2 linked regions of the Drosophila melanogaster genome follow. The protein of the gene in region 1 interacts with the protein of each later gene in a pairwise test. Each region holds a gene or a part of one and is shown on either strand. Other genes may lie near its edges. The genes, in order: PGRP-SA and CG7556.

Region 1 (3,858 bases):
TGATAGGGATAGTTAGTAGTGGTTTTTAGCTGCACAAAACAGTCATTCTTGTACTTATATGACCATTTTTAGATAAGTTATAAGAAAACACCCTTTGTACATATCGTATTTTTGGCCAAAAGACGTTTTCCAGATTTAAAGGAAGAAAATATTTAGTTTTTTGGCCACAACATTGGAAATAATGATCCAAATATGGATTGTCATACCTCGTTGAGTTCGTATTCAAAATTCTAATCAAACTGTGTTTAAAATTTGGATTTTTAATTTTTTGCCATTTTTCGCAAATTTTGATGAATACCGAATATGCAAAAATCGACCCAAAAATTAATTTTTCAAAATCCATCAAAAAGTGATAGGGATAGTTAGTAGGGGTTATTAGCTGCACAAAACAGTCATTCCTATGCGTTTATGACCATTTTTAGACAAGTTATGATAAAAACACCCTTTGCATAAATCGTATTTTTGGCCAAAAGACGGTTTTCAGATTTAAAGGAAGAAAATATTTAGTTTTTTGGCCACAACATTGGAAATAATGACTGGTCTATGCCACCCGGATGCGTTTTCATCCAGGGTATCAGCAAGGCAATTCAGCCAACAACGCCAACAAGTTGACTTGACTGCTGGCTAGCGCGGTATAAATGACGCCTGACGTCATGATGTCATCGAGTGAGCGGCAGAGCAGCCAAGCAGCGGAGCGGCCAACCTTAATATTTGTAATCTTCAAGTGCAACTAGGCCCCCGGCCACGCCCCCTTGACACTGTTCATTGGCCGCCCACGGATTGGCAATTAAAAAGAAAGGAATTAAACTTGCTAGTGGAAGCTCCTCGGACTTTTTCTCTGACTCAGCGCCACCTGAAAGTGGAGAGTGAGAAAAGTGGGTGAGGGCGATAGAGAGTGCACTGAAAAGAAATACTAGTGTGTGTTCATATTAGAATTAGAATTATTATATAAATATGTAAGATATGCATAATCTATCTAGTACCACAAAGTATATATGCACACTGAATTTATATGATTAATAATATCTGATTGATCTGCTCGTACATTATTTATGGATAACCCCATTTATAAACAACATATCTATTACCAATGATATCCAATACCATGTCTATAACCATTTGTTTATATCATCAATTACAAAGCCATAAAAACTTTGATAAACATAATATCACTTTCGGTGAAGTAACGCGAAATTAGATAGTCTTTCTTGCAGTGCAGCAGTAAAACACTGAGCGGTAAGTCTGATGAGTAACGCTAGTGCGGCGGAGATGACGCCGGATTGCCCCGCCCTGTAGTGGGTGGCAGTTATCGGGCAAACGGCTTTTATCAATAGCACCAATAATAACAGAAACCAAAATAGAATGAATGAATGAATAAAAAAATGCATCCAGTGGTTAGCGTAATGCATTTGCAATGCGGATCGCCTTCGGTGGAAAACCTTAAGGCAGAGACATGCAAATGCAAATGCCATGAGTAATTCACAATTTATAGACACCACACACATCGCAATCAAGTTCATAGCATGGGGGTCAATTATTATCTACTTTTTAAAAGAATCTTTAACTTTTCCCGCGAGTTATTCATCCTAATGAAACTGCCTTTTTTTAGCTGGCATTTAACACTTTTACCCTTGGAAATTGAAGTTAGTAAAGAAAAGCGGACGGTATTAAACATTTACACGCATTTCATTGACCTACAAAATGTATTGTTTGTTCATTTTTTGTTTTTTGGCAAAAACTATTGAAACTGCCTTTTTTTAGCTGGCATTTAACACTTTTACCCTTGGAAATTGAAGTTAGTAAAGAAAAGCGGACGGTATTAAACATTTACACGCATTTCATTGACCTACAAAATGTATTGTTTGTTCATTTTTTGTTTTTTGGCAAAAACTATTGCCATTACGTTCTATTTAAGGGAAGTATACGTTTTTCCTCGCCCTCTTTTTTAATTCATTAACCATAAATTGATTTAATGAACGACATGTCGGCATGCGAGCCTTCTATATCTTTTCATTTATAAGCTCGAACGATAATATACACAATATATTCGTGAGTAATATTGCTACACTTATACTTTTTTTTTACATATTTACTACTCAATTTGCAAACAAAAAAATAAAAATCTAACGCTCTCTGCGGCTGTTATCAGTGAACTTCTCGCGAGACTTTCAGCTAATCATTAATTTAGTTTAACTGTTAGTATTCGTGTGTACATATCACAAATCTTACTGCTTCTAGGGAAGCATTCGTCACTAGCTGAAAAGCGGAAATTCCATCACAGAGATCGGCTTTCAACCCGTTTTAAATTGTTGTTTGGGCTTTTTGCTTGTCGCTTCGCAAATGTGATGCAAAACAAAAAGAACCGAACAAAGAACGCGGAGATTTGCGACGGATCGGAAGATCTGGAGATGGCTAATGGACGGGAGTCCCCTGTGGCTCTGCGGGATCGTAAGCTCCAGAAAGCTCGGATCGTTGGCCCTGATAAATCCGGCAGATAGCCCATCGAGAGCAGTTCTCATCCAGCCTTAGATCTTAGCACATCAACATCATGCAGCCGGTTCGATTCGGATCTCCTTGGATTATGGCCATTGGGCTGGTGCTACTACTGCTGGCATTCGTCTCCGCCGGAAAGTCGCGTCAGCGTTCGCCAGCCAATTGCCCCACCATCAAGCTGAAGCGTCAGTGGGGCGGCAAGCCTTCGTTGGGACTCCACTACCAAGTGCGTCCCATCCGCTATGTGGTCATCCATCACACGGTCACCGGCGAGTGCAGCGGACTGCTCAAGTGCGCCGAGATTCTCCAGAACATGCAGGCGTATCATCAGAACGAGCTGGACTTCAACGATATTAGTTACAAGTACGGATGGCACCTTCGCAATTATCAAGATAACTATTATGATAATGATCTCTTTCAGCTTCCTGATCGGCAACGATGGTATCGTATACGAAGGCACTGGTTGGGGATTGCGCGGTGCCCACACCTATGGATACAATGCCATTGGCACGGGCATAGCCTTTATCGGCAACTTTGTGGGTAAGTTGCAAATCGATATTCTCCGCTATGTGGAGCACTACATGCCCAACATCTCCGATAGATAAACTTCCATCGGATGCGGCTCTCCAGGCGGCCAAAGATCTGCTGGCCTGCGGAGTGCAGCAGGGTGAGCTGAGCGAGGATTACGCCCTGATCGCCGGCTCCCAGGTGATCAGCACCCAGAGTCCCGGACTGACTCTATACAACGAGATCCAAGAGTGGCCGCACTGGCTCTCAAATCCCTAAATCAACTACAAGTAATTGCAGTAGTCTGCCAGAATGAGCATATCAGTTTAGTAAAGTAAATAAACCAATGTTGTTGAGTATTTTTTTGTGGTTTTTATTTTATAATTTTCTATTTTGTTTTCTGTCATAATTTACAAAAATGTGTCGGACGTAAAAATATATATGAATATATAGTGTAGTGTATGGGTGGGTGCCTGCATTCTTATGCTTTATAAGTAACATTTGTGTGCAGGCGAAAACAACTGATCGGGTTAATTAGGGATTTAAAGGGTATATGGAAAACGCTACAAATAGTGTCTGACGTTGGCTTGTTTTGTTGTTGTTTTTAATAACTAGGGTCTTTATACTAACATTAGGCAAAATAAGAATAGGGATATTCAAAAAAATGTGAAAGTACTTTGCAGAAGAGTGACAAGAGTCTTCCAGTTAGTAAACAATTTCATACAGTGGGTTGTGCAAAGAAATAGATTCGCATTATCGAATACAGTTCGAGAATTGCAACTTGAAACAATTTGTGCAAATATAAATGGCTTCGAATTCGCTTTTCTGGTTAACGCAAACAATTCAAAATGTTTACTT
Region 2 (3,924 bases), 7.6 Mb from region 1:
GCTGGACGAACTGCATCGTCATCTGTCAATTCGCGAGTCTGAATCTGCGAATAGCCGCGCAATTCTTCCTCGGTCTTCTCTGGAGCCTTGCTGTTCTGCTTGCGCTTCCGCAGATTCTCCTTGTGCTCCTTGCGAAGGCGCGCCTGCTCCTCGGCCTCCCGTTCCAGTTCCTCCTGACGACGGACGGCCTCCAGTTCCCTGTGGATGCAAATTGGGATGAATCAATTAGTTTCTTACTTCTTACTTTTGGATACCGTTCCCACACGATTTTTGTTAGCTTGTTAGCTATTCTACGCTAATCGAATTTTAGTACCTTATCTGTGGTCATATCAAGAATGCTCAGTTTCATTTGATTATCGTGCGACACAAAGACTGACAATATTCCTTCTTTGGAACCTATCTAATGGTGCAAGTCATCTTAAGGTGCACTCATGAGCACCTTTTTTGGAAAGCATAAAATGTGTTTGCATGGTGACATATCGTTTTCTTTCTTTGTTTCTTAATTGAATTGCCTATATTTAGAAGAATTGTTCTAGCTTGTGAATATAAAATGCTAACTAAAGGCTATGACCAAAATTTCAACTGAGAAATGAGAAACTAACCAACTTTTAATATTAAATGATATCACTCTGCATGCAATGAACATACAGAAACCACAGCGAATTAACGATAAGAGTGGCAATGTAAGTTATCAAAACCTGATGCAATACAAAACTAGAATTATATTCTTTTGTTGCTCTATATACTAAGATATTGAAGACTAAAGTAAGAGAGGTCTGCCAAAACTCCGAGCACAAGGTCGCAAAATAATAATCCTTCCGCTGCCAGGACCTCTCGATATAGAAACTTAATGAAATAGCAAAATCCTACAACTCCAAAATGACTACAATGGAACAAGGCGCTATAATAACGTAAAAACGTAAGGTAAGCAATAGAACCCTGCCACTTACTGCCTGCGCTTCTCCAGGGCGAGTTCCTTTAGCTCGTTGGCCTTGCTGAATCCGTTCTTGATGGTGCGCGGCAGGTTCCACAGGGCCAAGGGGATCTGGATGGGCAGGGTGTTGAGTAGCGAGGGCATCGGTATCTCGCTAAGGATCACGTCCATGTCGATGTTCTTGTTCTTCTTCTGCAGCTTCTTCAGCTTGGTGCCAAAGACCTGTTCGGCGGTGTACTTCTTCTCGAGGTAGGCCGCCCAGGCGAATAGATACTGGCCCACGGTGGTTATCAGGAAGAGGATAAAGGCGCCCTCATAGAGCCCGATCTTGCGCATACGTCGGTAATAGTAGAGGGCAGACTTCCAGTTGGGCATGCCCTCCTTCAGTACCCGGTCGTACTTCTCTCGGCGCGACGGATCTTTGAGAACCTCGTAGATGGAAACGAGGTTGCGGAACTGGATGTTGGCATCCTCGGCCGGATTCTTGTCCGGATGCAGGACAATGGACAGGGTGCGGAAGGCGCGCTTCACCTCGGCGCCCGTTGCCGTTTGGTTGATGCCCATGAACTCGTAGAAGTTGCGGTTTACCTCCTCGACCAAGTCAAAGATCTCCAGTTCCTCCGAGTGCCAGGCGCTGGCGCCAGTGGCGCAGAGCAGCAGGAGGCCGGCCAGCGTCAGCTCCGGTCGCATCATCATCGTGGTCCGAGTTCCGAATCCAGGTCAGGTCCAAATCGGAGTAAAATCCAAATTTAATGCGCCAGACCCACGCACGCACCACAAATACACACACACGCAAGCAAACACGGATAGGCTCAGCTGGAAAGTGGCAACGTCAGCAGACTGGTCGCTGGTGCGACAGCGTTGCCACCACTCGGTAAAGTTTGTGTAGACAAAAAGATATTTGCAACGTTTCTATTATTTATTTTTACGAATTTCTGTTTTTTTGTTCAAAAATAATTTACTGCACTAATTCTGTAACCATATATATGTAATCAAATTTTACAAATTTTTTTTTCCAACTAACGACACACAGTAGGTCAAACAGATTTCGTTTGTTTGCTCATTAAAATTTGCTCATAACATTTGTCAAGTTCTTCCTGAAAACAATAAAACAAATTCTCTTTCTATACCGAATTTTGTTTTAACTTGATACACGTTTTTCACCTGTTTCAAACCAAAACGCCCAACACTGTCGACTGTTATCGATAAGCTCTCGATGGTGCATCACTTGTGCAACTAAATGAATAGAAGCGACGCGACGTTTCACTCTTATAAGAATAAGAAATCAGACGACAATGAAGCTGCTCTATATGCTGTGGCTGCTGAGCATCTTGGTCCTGGTCTCAGGCCAGCAGAAGCAGACAGCTAACTCCGCCACCAAGGACGCCCCAGTGGTGGCCAATGCGACGAACGTGCTGCAGGCCAAAGTTATTCCAGGATCGAAATTGGAATCTGGATCTCCGGGAGCTGCCAGCCAGCTGGTGCCGGGTAAGGATGCAGCTGTGTTGCAACAGGACAAGAACTTAAACAAAACGGCCACAGCAGAAAATGCAGGTAAAGCCAAAAATCTCACAAACACCGATACAGGAGTGCCCACCATTCCTTTGGTCACTTCCAAGCCGGCTGTGGAGCAAAAGGCGGCCAAGGAGGCGACCAATACGACCTCCACTACAACTTCTTCCACCACGACCACCACCACCACGGCAAAGCCAGCTGCAGGATCAGCCATAGTCACCGAGGGCCAGTCCATGAAGGATGTCACCAAGCCGAGCAACTCGTCCACCAACGGCGCGGCAATATCCCCGACCAACAGCACCCACACCGCCACAGCCACCACCAAAACTGTCAATTCAACCATCATCGCAACCACGCCAAAGCCGAAGAAGCCCCCAGTGGTATTGAGCACTGATATACACCAGGAGGGGGAGGATATGGCGGAGCTGGAAAAGAGTCAGGATAAGCCAGGTACAAAGGGCGCTCCCACCCAGCCATTGGCCACACCACCAGAGCCATTGGTGCAGGGGCTTACTGGAAGTAATCTTGCCGATCACGGAGAGAACGGGTATGTGGTACCCATTGTTACCGTGCTGCTGACCGTTCCGCTGGCCATCGGCGTGGTGACCATCATGTACCGCCGCTTCCGCGACATGTGGAGCACCAGGCACTACCGTCGCATGGACTTCCTGGTGGACGGCATGTACAACGACTGACGAAGACGCGGACGACAGGCTGGCGGCAAGGGCGGCCACTTCACCGGGTGCTCCAACGCCTCCTCCGGCGCACTCGGATGATTATTAGTTGTTTAAGTTATACACGACTGGACGTGCTTGCATTCAATGCAAGATCGCCGGATCGAAAGCAGAGTGAGAGTAGCGGAGAGCAGAGGAGGCGGTGGGAAAACGAAACGAAACTATGATATTGCTCAGTCAATTAGAGGAGGAGGAGAAAGGGATTCGCTTTGCAGCGTGGCTAGGATACCCTTCCGAGCGGCCAAATTGAATTTAAAGCCAACTGATTTTCAACACTAAATTCGAGTGGACTCTTAAGTTTAAGCATTTGGATTATTGTCAAGCATTTGTTAGCAATCAAAAATTGATACCGGCACTTATATGTACCCTATATATACATATATCTACTTAGGCTGCTGCTGTACATCGAAGGCTGCGGACTCTCAACCATCAACCATCAACATCAACATCAGCGCAATTAGCAATCACTTGATGCATCCACAATCTAGCCGTAATGTGCCTTACGAACCAGCTCTATATACACCTTTACACATGATATTCTCCATCGCCGGGTCTTCGAGGTGATTTCTTCGCATTTACTTTACGCAACCAAGCAGCAGCACTCACTCAAAAAAAAAAACCAGCAGAAACCAAAAACACAAGCAATCGGCCTGAAACAAGCAAATTTATTGCATACCATGTGTATATACATAAATATGAATATATATATATATATATATACATATTTCTTATTGTTATTAA

Evidence for each region.
Region 2: the proteins of PGRP-SA (region 1) and CG7556 interact in a two-hybrid assay, tested with the Drosophila melanogaster proteins (one large-scale study listed by BioGRID).

Annotation. Positions count from the first base shown.
Region 1 is NC_004354.4:11,559,425-11,563,282, forward strand, and holds PGRP-SA (peptidoglycan recognition protein SA), read left to right. Parts: upstream 1-2,218; 5' UTR 2,219-2,548; coding exon 2,549-2,856; intron 2,857-2,914; coding exon 2,915-3,033; intron 3,034-3,094; coding exon 3,095-3,279; 3' UTR 3,280-3,355; downstream 3,356-3,858. UniProt on the Drosophila melanogaster protein: Peptidoglycan-recognition protein that plays a key role in innate immunity by binding to peptidoglycans (PGN) of Gram-positive bacteria and activating the Toll pathway upstream of spz activating enzyme SPE.
Region 2 is NC_004354.4:19,178,050-19,181,973, forward strand, and holds the start of CG7556 (uncharacterized protein), read right to left. Parts: upstream 1,782-3,924; 5' UTR 1,631-1,781; coding exon 951-1,630; intron 199-950; coding exon 1-198. Other genes in the region: CG7453 (uncharacterized protein), read left to right, coding at 2,230-3,144.